2 linked regions of the Astyanax mexicanus genome follow. The protein of the gene in region 1 interacts with the protein of each later gene in a biochemical or structural test. Links are inferred from orthologs where the notes say so. Each region holds a gene or a part of one and is shown in the gene's direction. Other genes may lie near its edges.

Region 1 (7,284 bases):
CGCTGGTGAGGTAGCGCGTCCACTTGCCAGAGTCGTTGGACATGCTTGAGGACCTCTTCCTGCGGTGGAGTGGCAGAGATGAACAGACACTCTGTGGTGTGCGGTGTCCGGCCCATGGGCTGGATAGGGCCTTGAAGAGTCCATCCCAGGCGAGTGTGAACTGCTGCTGGGCTACCCGGTGGGCCAAGTCGTACGTGTTCGACAGGGGTTATTAGGTGAGGCTGGTCAGAGCCGATCAGGAGACATGGCTTGGCTCCCTGGAAGGCAGGTAGGGGGATGCCACGCAGATGTCTGAACTTGCGTTGAAGGTGCTCAATAGGGTAAGTATATTGGGCTAAAGTGAGACGGCTTGCGGTGAAGGCACCATCTATCTGGTAACTGACCTGAGGTGTGGCAGCAGGAGAGACACGGAACGAAACCGTGTGCCCGTGGAGCACCTGGATATCCTGACGGACTGTGCGCAATGGTAGGACTTCAGGCGTTCCCCGTAATGCGAGGGATTTTGCTGCCAAGGGCAACAGCATTGTCCTCTCAGACCCATCATCGAGGATCGCAAAGGTATTGAAGGTCCTTCCACAGCAGTGAACAAGCACAGGGACAACTTTTAGCAGAGCACGGTTGCTTGCTCCAGGTCTATCAAGGTAGAGTGTGTCAGAGGCAGTACTGTTCACGGAGCCATCTTCCTTTGCTGACACGTTCCTCGGAGCCTTGTCAGTCCTCACATTTATTTCGTGGAGGGCGAGGAGATGCTTCCCTTGACAGACGTTGCAGGGTTTCTTAAGCGTGCACTGCGCTGCCTGGTGAGCTCGTGCGCAGCGCCAACAACGCTTGTTGGATTGGATCCACTCTCTTAGCTGATCCTTGGAGAGCTTAGCTACTCCAGTGCACTGACTGAGGTAGTGCTCTGTACTCTCGCAGTAGGCACAGTAGGCTTTGGGCTTTGGTTTCTTCTTCGCAGGTGACTGGGAAGCGGACTGTGGAACTTCACCAGCACCATGCAGGACTGATACTGTCTTCTTTGCCTGACGGCCCTCACTCTTTGTATTCTGTTTCTCCTTACTGTATTTCTCAGGGGCCAACTCATCGGTGCCTTGACACCATGATTCATGGCGGAGCCACTCTGACAAGTTGTGCAACGTGTGGACAGCTCTGGAATGCTTTAACTGATATCGGCGAAAGTTAGCTCGTAGTTCAGGAGGGAGCTTGCTGAGGAGGTTGGCTACATGTGAGCCACAGTGGAGTTCAATCTCCCCTTCAGGTCCTACGGTCTTCAGTAGGCCCACAAGTGACTGAATTTGGAGTGAGAACGCCTCAAAGGCGGGTATGTCACCGCGCTTAACTTCAGGGGCCCCCAGGACACTCCGAATTCTTCTAATGGCAAGCTGATGAGGTTGACCGAATTTATCGTATAAAGCAGACATTGTGTCAGAGTAAGGTGTCGGTGAGTTTAGGTAGGCATCAGCAATGAGCTTAGCTTCATCTAGCTTCAGGTGGTCTACAAGTATTTGGTACTTGAAGAGTTCTGTAGCGTTAGATGGGAGCAGGTTCCCCAGAGCTATACGTAGCCGAGCAAAGTCGCTAGGATCTGGGCGAGCAAACTTGGGGATAGTGGGTTTTGGACCCCTATAGTGCTCTTCAGGCACTGAGGAATGCAGAGGTAGGTAAGGTGTGGGCGCAGCAGGTCCCACTCTGTGGACTAATGGTGGAGGGTACGCTGAGCTAGGTGATGCAGGCCATGGTTGGGCATAGGCTGGAGTAGGATGAGCAAGTGGCTGTGAGAATGACACAGGAGGTTGAGGTTGGGGGTACTGTGCATGCGTGTAGTAGGCTGGTACCCCTCTACGAGCCACAGATATTGGAGGTGGGAGTTGAGGCTGCATCGGAGGTGGGAGCTTGTAAGGCGTGTACGAAGGTTGTAATGAGGCATAAGGGGGTTGGCTGTAGCCTGGCTTTGGTGCCTCAAGCTTTAAGTTGTACATGCCTTCATTCAGTTCCTCCTCAGGCTTGCACCACACTGGAGGGTCGGGCCACGCTTCCTCTTCCTCCTCCTCGTCATTAGGCTGTACAACAAGGAAACGACTTGTATCTGCAGCACTGGGTGGTGGAGGTTGGTATGTGTGGTAGTTCGATGCAGGGGCATTGGACTGCCCAATGTCTGTTCTCAGTAAGCGTGCCACCTCTATTAGCTCTTTAATCTCGCTTCGTGCCTTGTTGAGCTCTGCTATGCCTGACTCAACATGGTGCCTTGTTTGAAGCAGCTTAGCGTTCTCCTCTTGGATGGCTCTCAACTCTGTTGTGAAGTGGGAGGCTAGGTGTGAGCGTTGCAGGTGAGGGTATTCAGGTAGGAGGTCCTCACTGGTCAGATCTCTCCCTTGGGGGTAGCTGAGGGCTAGCTGAGGAATCTCGGTGTAAGCAGCATCCCTCTGGCGGCTACTGGGACGAGTATGTGAGGTTAGAGGACTTGAATGATTTGAATACATCCCTGCTGAGGGAGCTGTTGAGCCCATGTGATAGTCCACCTCATAATCATCAAGCCAGGGAGGTCGACGTATTTGCCGTTTGGGACGCACGTCAGGCATCATCTCTTCACCATACTCCATCTTGAATACTCCGATCCGGCTCGAAGGACCAATATTGGGAAGGCTATAGGGATATGAGGTTCGTTTAGGTGTTAGGAGTTATCCAAGATGGGGCATCGATTAGAATGCCAGGTAAGGGAATGATGAGGAGACGATGAGGTTTATTTTTAAAGGTGATGATAACATTTACTGAAGAAGCTCAGATCTGAATTCACATGTATTCACGTGTATTCACAGGTTCACATTCACATTTACTGGACATCCCCTTTAAGGTTTACATATACATCTACAGTCTGGAAAGGAAAAGAAAAGAAATAGCAATAAGAAATAAGGCACTATAAAATAAAAATAAAGGTCTGCATTTACTTTACATTACATAAAGTACATAAGTGCCACACTTCTTTTACAATGCAAACTTGAATCACTGGGAATTTCTAATAAAGAGAACAGCTCAGTCATAGAGCAGCTATTAAACAGTCTCTGAAGCCCCCTAGTGGCCAAATTAGGTAGTGCAACTAGAGCACGCACGTGACGTGTATTTCACGAGGACAAAGAAACTTTTACTCGAAATATTCTCACATAACATCGAGGCAGATAGTGCTAAAACACTTATAACTTGTAACTTAGAAACATGTAGGGATTATACTCTACACCTTAAGACATGTTAGGAAATGTAGGCTACACAATACATCCAGACAATATCCTGACTAGCTCAGCATATATACGGATAAAGGAGTAAACACAAACGGAGATACATGCAAAAAACACAACAGCATGACTTACGTTTCATCATTGACTGTGAGAAAATGTACTATGAAGACTTGAAGAACTAAGATTAACTTGGATGAAGGTCAGCTCCTAACTTTAACTCTGAGCCTACTAAATGTGGTCAGCTCTGTTTCTGGAACAGGTAAGTGAATCAGGCACAATTAAGATTTACCGGAGCTAGAACGTCACAATAAGAGTCCCGTCCTTTTATACAATATACATATTTAATGTAAGGAAAGTATACTATAAACAGTACGTTGATTCAACCTTCTTTTGCTATCTGGGCACATCACTGTTTCTACACTCATTTTTTTATATACAAAGGTATAATATATACAGTACCAGTCTAAGGTTTAAACACACTTTCTCATTCAATGCTATTCTTTATGTTTTTTGTTTAATTTGTTTTATACATTGTAGATTAATATTAAAGACATTAAAACAATTAAGGGACACATACGGAATTCAGCACCTCCAGGAACTCCTTCAAGATGCTGAGAAAATACCACGAGTGTGCAGATCTGCCCTTATAGCTAAATAAAATGTATAAAACCTATTCTGGTTTGTAACACTTCCAATTCTACATGTGCTCCTGTATAGCTTTAACGTATTCAATATTAAATTTGCAATGTAAAAAAAATATATATATATAAAATAATAAAAAGGTAACACATTGAATGAGATGAGATGTGTCCAAACTTCCTTAGACTGGTAACAGTTACTGTATGTACATATTATCAATTTATATATTGTATAATACATAAAGTATATGGTCTAAAAGACTTGGATGGTAAAACCTACTGAATAATTAAACTAATTTTCTTTTAGGTTTGGGGAACATGCGGATTAATTATTAGTTATTTATTATTTATTATTTTGCTCTATTGTTCTAAAAATCTGTATACTGGTGTATAATAGTAAAATAACGCCCCCTGTTGGGCTCGTTGTGCGCATGCTCGTGCCGTAGCCGGTCATGGCGACGGTGTGTTCATGTCCATGAGGCGGGAAGCGCAGCCTTCTCTCTCGGTCTCTCGGTTACGGTGGATCAGCGCAGCGAAATAAACGATGGCCGGGGTTTTCGACATCGATCTGGACCAGCCGGAGGAGAATGTCTCCGATGACGAGCTGGAGGAGGTGAGTAACTGCCGCTCCGCTGCTCCATACGCCCTGCTGGCAGGCCGCGCCGAGCCCTGGGCCTGGAGAGCCAACAACACACCAGCTAGCTTAGCTTAGCATAAGCTAGCATAGCATAGGTGTTGTGCTAGCTAGCTGCCTGTGTACTAATGCTAATTTCTGCAATATTAGACAAAATATTCCACCTATTCTTATGCAGGTGTGCAGATTAAATGTGCACCTTTTTAATCAATTCGTCCGCTTTGCAGTCATTTGTCGTTTTTTTTTCTAAAACTGTCTTTAAATGTTTTTAAATCCACGCTAGCTAACCAGCTATCTGGTTAAAGGGAAGCCCTGTAGTAGATAGCTTAGCTTAGCGTAGTTATCGTGTTGTGGCTTGCCTGCTGCCTGCCTGCTATGTGTGTGAACCAGATAACGATCGATTTTCGTGGTGAATACGTGCATTTCGTGGATTTCCTTGAATTTTAGGCTTTTAATTCCCTACCAGTTGTATTTTTACCGTAATATGCATTGTGCTGCATCTAGAATAAAGTGATATTGTCGGTTCATTATAACTAACCTAACTAGTGTAGCTTCTTAACTGAGCTACACAGTCCTGAAGTTGTCACATTTGACACACACGCTTGCTGAGCAGCCCTGTTCCTCCCATTGCTCCAGTATAGAGTTACTGTATAAGGCATGCTGGTTTCCAGTGACACCGTTAGTTAGCTAGGTTAGTTCAGGAGAAGCTGCAGTGTCGTGTAGCGTTAGTTAGATTAGTCGGATAAAGTGCTCTGTCTCTCCAGCAAACCCTCCTCCTCCTCCTCTTTCAGAAATAGCTAGCGCTAGCTGTCATCTCGCAGGGCTCCTAATGAAATATCAGCTCTCAAGTTTCCAGAAGAGCATACTGGGAATGCCGATCAGCTTTTTCCCAGTTTGACTGATGATCCTCCTGTTTTATTTCTGTATAGGCACAGATCAATGACTTTATGGATCAGTGCAGTGGCTTTGAGTTGTGAGTATCCTATGCTATTTTACATTTCAGTAAAGCTTTATTTTGCTATTTCTTCTGTCAGCTGTTTATATATAGCTTTGGAAAAAAAGAGACCACATAAAAATGAGAGTATAATCAAAAGGAAGATGGATGATCACAAGCCATCAAATCAAGCTGAACTGCTTGAATTTTTGCACCAGGAGTGAGTGGCATAAAGTTATCCAAAAGCAGTGTGTAAGACTGGTGGAGGAGAACATGCCAAGATGCATGGAAACTAAATATTGATTTCTGATCTGTTAAAACTTTATAAATATGTCTGAAAGTTCTCTCTCTTATTTCAGCCATTTTTCTTTTTCTGCAAAAATACTCTAAATGACAATATTTTTATTTGGAATTTGGAAAAAAAATGTTTTAGTGGTTTATAGAATAAAACAACAATGTTCATTTTACTCAAACATAAACCTATAAATAGCTAAATCAAATAAACTGATTCAGAAACTGAAGAGGTCTCTTAATTTGTTTCAGAGCTATATATAAGTTTTTGCACCTTTACAGATTTCTTTTGTTTTTGCTTTTTTGTCATACTGATATTTGCCCGATTATCAAACAAATTTTAATATCAGGCAAAGATATCCTGGGTAAATATAAAAAGCACTTTTATAAAAAGAACTTTTTAAAATGATAATTTTATTTGTTAAAGGGAAAAAAGTTTGCAAAGTTCAATTATATATTTAAATTGTAGTTTTTGTATTAGTTTTTTAACTTGAACAAGTAAGACAAAAATACATTCAGACTATTTCATTTATGTAGTACTGAACAAACATGCCAAAATAAATTAAAACTCATTAAAACTGTTAGACCTTTGGCTGAAAGTTTCATTTATTAAGCTTCGGACAAAAAAATAAAAATTGGTGCGTCAAATCTAGATACACATTAAAAATAACATAATAAAATGATATGCATTAGATTTAGTGAAGAGTTTAAAGACAATTACTGATCTGCTATTTCAGGAAACAGGAGAGATGCTAGAATCACAGTATTGTCATCAGGCAATTAAGCAATAATACACAAGAGGGAGTGCTGTAACGTGTAATATTGGCTTTGCAGGCTGAGTGCCGTAAATCAGCTCAGCAGTGCCAATATTACACGTTATAGCACAAACCTCGAGAGTATTATTGCGATTATACCACAGTTCCATGATCACTGTTTATTAAAAGATTTTGAATTAAAGAGGACGAGAAAATACGATTTGTAAAATAGTTCTATTGCTGCTCTGTTTGTAGCTGCTCTGTTTGGCTTGTAAGCGCTGCATTGTTGCTAGGTTACCTGTATGTGGTGGGGTAATACGTGAAGAGCTTCGGTTACTGTGCATTACCGGCTGATTACGGCACTCGTAGAACTCCTTTTAGCCAATCATGTTGCAGGGTCGGAACTAACTGTAATAAAATTGCTTTTATAAAATTACTTTTCAGTTATCTACTCCCTGTATATAATACTGTATAATGTACCATGCATTTTTGTTTTGTGTAGTTTGCTATAAAGGCAGAACAGGGGATTTAAAAATATCCATGGCTTTTGACACCAGCGTCTGCTTGCATTTCTATATTTGTGCATCTTTAGATTAAACACTGCTGTTTGCATTGCCTTTTCATTTGTTTCTTTTACTTTTTTCTCAGCAATATGGATGACTGTGAGAAGATCGAGATATCTGAAGACAGTGTAAACCAAGGCACAGAGAGCATACGCCCGGAGTGCTTTGAGCTATTGCGAGTTTTAGGCAAAGGTGGCTATGGAAAGGTAAAGTGCTCAATTATACCAACTTATATGTAT
Region 2 (7,205 bases), on another chromosome or scaffold:
GATTAAAGAAATATAATGAAAACACTAGACAGTGACAGGCATCTGAATATGCTGTCCTAAATTAAGATTAAATCAATAACAACACATTCTTCTTACTGTTACCATTATTATTTGATTATTACTATAGTTACCATGTATTTATTAATTATTGAATTTCATCCTGTTCAAGCTATTGAACACAACTCAGCAGAGATTTATAAAATTACCCAGACACGTCAGGCTGGCCAACATGTTCAGCTGTAATTTACTAAAAATGATTAACTGTTAATCAATTACTCAGAGGTAAAGCATGTATTAGAAAAACACCTTATAAAAAGGTGTATAAAAATATTTAATCTCTGAACAAAAAGATAGCTTCTTATTTTAGTTTTAAATAAATAAATGAAATGATTGTCTATCTAACAAACACTAGTTGATTACAATTGGTAAGTAAGGAACTCAAGATCTCTGTAATGCAGATTTAGAAACTCCCTTTTCAGGCAAAAAATTCACACTGTTCTCGTTTCCCCATTATATATCTAATAGAGACAGATTATATCTGTCCAGTATCATTCATTTTACTTTAATCTTAGATATATGGAGATATTTGGAGTGCATTATTAGTATCATGACATTATGAATTACTGACATCTGTTACAAATCTGATAAAATTCTTGGATCTTTTAATATCTCAGTTAGGGGTGTGCAGTGTCATATTGTACGCAATAATAAAGGTAACTTTCATTTTGTTGCAGAAGTGTATACTTGATTTGAATCACTCTAAGAAAGTGTTCTTTAATAAAGATGTTTTGCATATATGAGACCACATAAAAATGTTTTCTTTGATTTTACCAAATAAAAAAAACCCTGAAATATAATCAAGAGGAAGATGGATAATAACAAGCCATCAAACTGAACTGAATTCAAGCTGAACTGCTTGAATTTTTGCACCAGAAGTGGCATAAAGTTATCCAATAGCAGTGTGTAAGACTGGTGGAGGAGAACATGCCAAGATGCATGAAAACTGTGATTAAAAACCAGGTTATTCCACCTAAATTTTTAATGAATATGAACCTGTTTTCTTCGCATTATTCAAGGTCTAAAAGCTCAGCATTTTTTTGTTATTTCAGCCATTTCTCATTTTCTGCAAATAAATGCTCTAAATGACAACTTTTTTATTTGGAATTTGGGAGAAATGTTCTCTGTAGTTTATAGAATAAAACAACAATGTTCATTTTACTCAAACCTATACCTATAAAAAGCAAAATCAGAGAAACTGATTCAGAAACTGAAGTGGTCTTATAATTTTTCCAGAGCTCTGTGTGTATATATATATATATATATATATATATATATATATATATATATATATATATATATATATGTTCATGAGTTAAAGTGCTGGAATTGATTTACACGGATTTTGAAGGGTGTGTGCGGCATTTGTCACCATGGCTTTCTGGTGACAAATGCTGGTGACGGTTAGAACAACTGCACAGCACAAACACAAAGACTAAAAAGAAGCTTTAATATCGTAGCAGTGTAAAAGTCAACTGTTTCTTTATTTCTGTAGAGAATTTTTAACGTCTAATTTCAGCTGTGGAGCTACTGGGCTGCACCCAAACCGAGAGTCCAGCCCGGCTGCACTGCAGCATCTGAGAGCAGCTCAGCGCGGTCAGCTTTCAAATATACACCGCACAGCTCGGTCAGGCAGCCAGTCATGGCTAAAAAATCACTAAACTCATAACAATACAGCGTGTTCAGCTATCAGCAGAGTTCCCTCACTGACTACATGTCCAGCAGTAAACACACAGCTCTCATCCTGTAGCCGCGATGCTCAAACCTTCAACTACAGCTAAAGCAGAGCTAACTCACAGCCATTCCCCGAGACCAGCACTCACTAAACTATACTAAAAACCCTAAGATATCTAAACGCAGAAGCACATAAAGCGTGAGAATGTTAGAAAGTGTTGTTTTAAAAACTTTAAACCGGTTAAAAGACTCAAACCAACCCGTTAGTTCGTGTCTCTGCTGTGGCTTCTGAAACCGCTGTTGTTGGCACGAACCATTCACCCGTTTCCTGCTTCAGCGCGAGCGGTGGTGACGAATAACGGCGGCCGAGAAGCGTCAAACCGCGCTGCAGCAGAACACACCGACCACACACTGGACCTGTTTCCTTACAAACTTAACTTTATGCGTTTATAGCTTATATTTACACATCTCAGCTTAAACTCTGGGCTGTTCACTGTTTAAATACACCTTTAATGTTTACATACTTTAATATGTTTTCATTGTTTATATTTATTCTATAGTATAGTATAGACGGTATTATTCATAGTGACATTTATATTGCATTATATTATATATAAATGTATGGTTACTGTCAATAATTTAAATTCTATCTATCTATCTATCTATCTATCTATCTATCTATCTATCTATCTATCTATCTATCTATCTATCTATTACATTAGGGCAGTTTTTGCTAATAAATAACATTTTGCATATATGATTATTTTTAAGTACATTTAAAATGTTCCATAATATGTATGCATATGCATTCAATGTTTTTAATTACTCTATTAATATTCTAATATTAGTATTTTTATAATATAGCTGGTCACAGGGTAAATATAAAATTTGAAGATTGGTTTGAATTGTGAAGTCTTCGCTGGAAATCTTATCTACCCCAACCAAAGATTTTATTTGTCGAAATTAATATATTATTAAATGTATATTATAAAAAGCTGTGTCTGTGTATTTAAATGAGTTAAAATGACTTAAAAGAGGAATGAGATGTGTAGTTAATGCATGTATTTTTGTTTAAATAAAAAAAGGGATTTATGGGTAAGCTGTTCCGTTTCACGTTAGAGTATGTAGTTAGTAAGGAATTAACATACGCTTAATTGTGTGTTTATGGCGCCCTCTTGTGGTGAAGTTTGAAACATCACCGTGAGGAAATCTTCACAAACATTTTCTGCAAATAAATGCTCTAAATGACAATATTTTTATTTGGAATTTGGGAGAAATGTTTTGCGTAGTTTATAGAATAAAACCACAGTGTTATTTATTTATTTATTTGTTTATTTTTACAATTTTACTCAAACATATACCTATTTTGCTAAAGAGCATAATACAAAGTATTTCATCATGACAGCACTTATTTATAAATAAAAAATATGCATATATTTTGCATCCAAAATAAAGTATTATGAAATGAAGTATTATGTTGTTCGTATTGTAATATTAAACCTTGCACTATATATGTATATAATAGTGGGGAAAATAATCCACCTTATTGTTTTACCACCAGAGGGCGCTCCACAGTAGGTTAAAAATAAATGTGTTCATTCGGAGCAATTAGGCATAATCTGATTTTTTAAATGTTTAATCTTTTTTTACTGAATTAAAAATAATTTCCTCAACACAGAACTAAAACATATGCCCAACAACATATTTATTAAACCTTTTAACCTTTAAACATTAATGTACTTTCAAAAATGTCAAAATTCGGGAAAAGTATATTCTTACTCTTTTAAAAATGTTTATTTAATCATTAACCCCATTCATTTTGGACTCACTCGTGGGCTCCCTCTAGCGGTTATCTGGGATTTTCTGATATAAAGAGGAGATAATCTTCATAACCCGGCTCTAGTTTTACTAAACTTTTACTGAAGCACGACTATGCACTGTTATAAGTTGTATAAATTATATACTTAATAAGGGTGGGTTTTTTTCCAGAAAATTTCAGTCTATAAACCTTACCTACAATATCAAAATATATCAGAATATATTGAAAAGCGTATTGCAATAAATATCGCATAGTCAGGTTCTTACAGATAAACAGCACTAATTTACAGAACACCCTTACAGTCTGAGATGTCTTTTAGAGTCAGAGAAGGAAGGGACATTTTCTGAAAGCTCTGCATCTTTTTTGTTCAACCATTTCCCATTTCTGCAAATAAATGCTCTAAATGACAATATTTTTATTTGGAATTTGGGAGGAATGTTGTCCGTAGTTTATAGAATAAAACAACAATGTTAATTTTACTCAAACATATACCTATAAATCAGAGCAAAATCGGAGAAACTGATTCGGAAACTTAAGTGGTCTCTTTTTCTTCCCCCATATATTTGCTAGTTTATGTAAAGTTATATTCAGGCATCTTATCAGCCGTACTGCATGATGACGCACGGAGACAGCGCGGGGCTTTGCGCCGCTCAGTGGCGGAAGAGTGGAGTGTCACTCAGGCGAGTTTAGCTTGTGGTCTGGCCGTTACTGGAAGTGTGTTTCTCCTCGTTTCTGGAATCATACAGCGTTTAATGGGTGAAGATAAACAGCACACGCGCATATCTCGTGGTAGGAGGTTCTCTCCAGAGCGTTCAGCTGAAAGAGAAAGTGAAGCAGCAGCGCGGCGGTATGAGTGACGGACAGTGTAGCTGGATCAGCACAGTCTGTTTACAAGTACTGCAGTGAAGAATCCGGCGTTCTGACAGTGAAACTACTTAGCTAGGTTACCTAGGCTAACCTACATAGGAACAGAGCTTAGATTCAGCCAGCCTGTGGAGAGACACATACTCAACCTAGCTAGTTAGCTGGCTACCCAGGAAAGCTAGTGACTCGCTAGTTAGTTAACCTAGATAACTAGTCAGTTGGCTAGCCCTACTATCTAACTGTTTAATCACTGTTTAATCACTAATTATCTAGTTAGCTTTACAGTAGCTAGATAGAGTCATATAGAATAATTTCTCTGTAAAAACAAGACGTTTAGCTGCATAGTTAGCTATCTTATTAGATCTTAAATCAGAATTTCCCCCCGATTGATGGCTGACACCTGCCTAACATCATGCGGATTTTAAGGACTCTAATGAACAATGCTTCCATTGGCAAGCTGGTGGATCAGTATTCCAGATTTTCCCCCTCTCCTCTGTCTATGAAACAGTTCTTAGATTTTGGTAAGTTTCTAGCTATTATATGAGCACTAAAATCAGCAGAGTTTGGTTGGGTTTGGTTTGGTTTTTAACCAAACCTAAATATTGTTGTTTGTCATTGTATGTCTTAATTTTCCTCCCCAGGTTCAGATAATGCCTGTGAAAAAACCTCATTCACGTTCCTGAGGCAGGAACTGCCAGTCAGGCTTGCAAACATTATGAAAGAGATTAACTTACTGCCTGATAACCTACTGAGGACGCCTTCAGTGCGCTTAGTGCAAAGCTGGTGAGTGTAACTAACTACTATACACTGGACTGGACCGTAAACTAGAACTGTTTAATCACTGCTCAGTTACTCATTGCTTTTTGTTTGCCATATCTCACCAGGTACATGCAAAGTCTCAAGGATATCCTTGAGTTCAAGGACAGAGATGCCAATGATGAAAAAGTGACTTTTGAGTAAGTATATAAACATCTATTCTATAAACATCTGGGTAGATTCTATTTAGCAATGTTTGTGTTTTTATGCATCTTAACGTGTCACTATGGCTATGTTCACATTACCCAGGCTGAAGTGATCTGATTTTTTCATGGCTGTGTGAACAATCCAAATCCTTTTTTTTTTTAATCAGATTTAAGTCACACATATATGCGGTCCTAAATCAGATACATGTCCGATTCATGGACATGCGGCATGAATGTGAACGGTCAAATCGGAATTCATGCGTCTTCTTGCTTTAACGCATGCGCTATGTGCTTCCAGTACCCACACATCTCTTGGTGCAGCTGTAGCTGCAAAAACAGCAAAAGCAAACCGTCCGGCCTTTTTTCTCCTCCTCGACCTGAGCGTGAACTTCAGACCAGTTGTTTGCTGTTTCTCCATTCAAGCAAAAGATGCTCCACATATGAGCTGCTAACGCATCCATTTCACCTTTATAAAGCTACGAGTCGTCTCTCAAATATGATGTTTTTTTGGTTGTTGGAAAGAAGGCGACGTACATGTATACTATACACGTATCAATGAACGCATGTGAAGCGATTCAGCGACAAAATTCGTTTACATTACACACAGATACAGGTCACTTACATTTGTGAATGTGAACCATCAAGATCTGAGCAAAAAATTGTATTTGAGCAATGTTGCTTGTAATGTGAACGTAGCCTAAGTTGCTGCTGCTGCTGCTCTTTAGTTTCACGGATGCAGTGATAAAGATCCGCAACCGACATAATGATGTGGTGCCCACCATGGCTCAGGGAGTGGTGGAGTATAAGGAGGCGTATGGTACTGACCCAATAACCAGCCAGAATATGCAATACTTTTTGGACCGCTTCTACATGAGCAGAATCTCCATCAGAATGCTCCTCAACCAGCACAGTGAGATCCTGTTATTGTCTTAATTCGACCTGTTATTGTCTTAGACATGTTCTTCCTCTTATTTTTCTTCTTATTGTATGAATAACACATTTATAAACATACTTTTTTTTCATATCCATTGCAGCTCTTCTGTTTGGAGGACGTGTACGCGTGAACCCAGCTCATCCAAAACAAATAGGAGGTATTGATCCTCACTGTTGTGTCACTGATGTGGTTAAAGGTAAGAAATCTGAGCTGTCAGATTATATGTCAAGCTGATGTCATTATCAAGGCTTGGTTTGGCTGTTCTTGTCACTGAAATGGAAGGACAGTAAGTGATACTAAGTGTTTATTTGTTGCTGTTGCAGATGCGTATGAAAATGCTAGATCATTATGTGACAGATACTACATGAACTCACCAGAATTACAACTGGAAGAATTTAATGGTAATCACAAAATCATTTTCATTTACTTCATGTATTTATGATACTTAAAAATGTAGAGAAATAAATGTAGTTTTCTGTTGTTTTTTTTTTGTTTGTTTTGTTCTCTGCAGTTAAAGAACCTAATAAGCCCATAACTGTGGTTTATGTGCCATCCCATTTGTATCACATGGTCTTTGAATTATTTAAGGTACTGTGTACCATTTCTTTCCTTACACCTTGTCCGTATAAAACACAAAATACCAGTATACATAATTAAGGACTGACTCTGCTGTGGAACTTTTCCATTGTTTGGTACCTACACATTTTAGTTCTACTCCTGGACTGCTCCTGGGTTTTTGGTTTTACTCCCACCCCTTACTTTCAATACAAGGTTTACAAGTTACTTTTTAGCATACTAAAAAGAGTACTTGGTGACAGATAACAGGCAGCATATTTGCCCAGTAGAAAAGCAAAGCCAAGTAGGGTCGAGTCCAGTAGTAGTATAGGTACCATAG

The links.
Region 2: the proteins of rps6kb1b (region 1) and pdk1 form a complex in vitro, tested with the Homo sapiens proteins (2 studies listed by BioGRID and IntAct, with this or other methods). The link is inferred for Astyanax mexicanus from reciprocal best matches to the Homo sapiens genes RPS6KB1 and PDK1.

Annotation. Positions count from the first base shown.
Region 1 is NC_064425.1:6,352,631-6,359,914, reverse strand, and holds the start of rps6kb1b (ribosomal protein S6 kinase beta-1), read left to right. Parts: upstream 1-4,284; 5' UTR 4,285-4,412; coding exon 4,413-4,481; intron 4,482-5,431; coding exon 5,432-5,475; intron 5,476-7,130; coding exon 7,131-7,251; intron 7,252-7,284. Other genes in the region: uncharacterized protein LOC125782590, read right to left, coding at 1-2,600. UniProt on the Homo sapiens protein: Serine/threonine-protein kinase that acts downstream of mTOR signaling in response to growth factors and nutrients to promote cell proliferation, cell growth and cell cycle progression.
Region 2 is NC_064418.1:31,059,880-31,067,084, forward strand, and holds the start of pdk1 (pyruvate dehydrogenase (acetyl-transferring) kinase isozyme 1, mitochondrial), read left to right. Parts: upstream 1-4,191; 5' UTR 4,192-4,826; coding exon 4,827-4,935; intron 4,936-5,055; coding exon 5,056-5,197; intron 5,198-5,298; coding exon 5,299-5,370; intron 5,371-6,101; coding exon 6,102-6,286; intron 6,287-6,410; coding exon 6,411-6,506; intron 6,507-6,633; coding exon 6,634-6,711; intron 6,712-6,821; coding exon 6,822-6,898; intron 6,899-7,205. UniProt on the Homo sapiens protein: Kinase that plays a key role in regulation of glucose and fatty acid metabolism and homeostasis via phosphorylation of the pyruvate dehydrogenase subunits PDHA1 and PDHA2.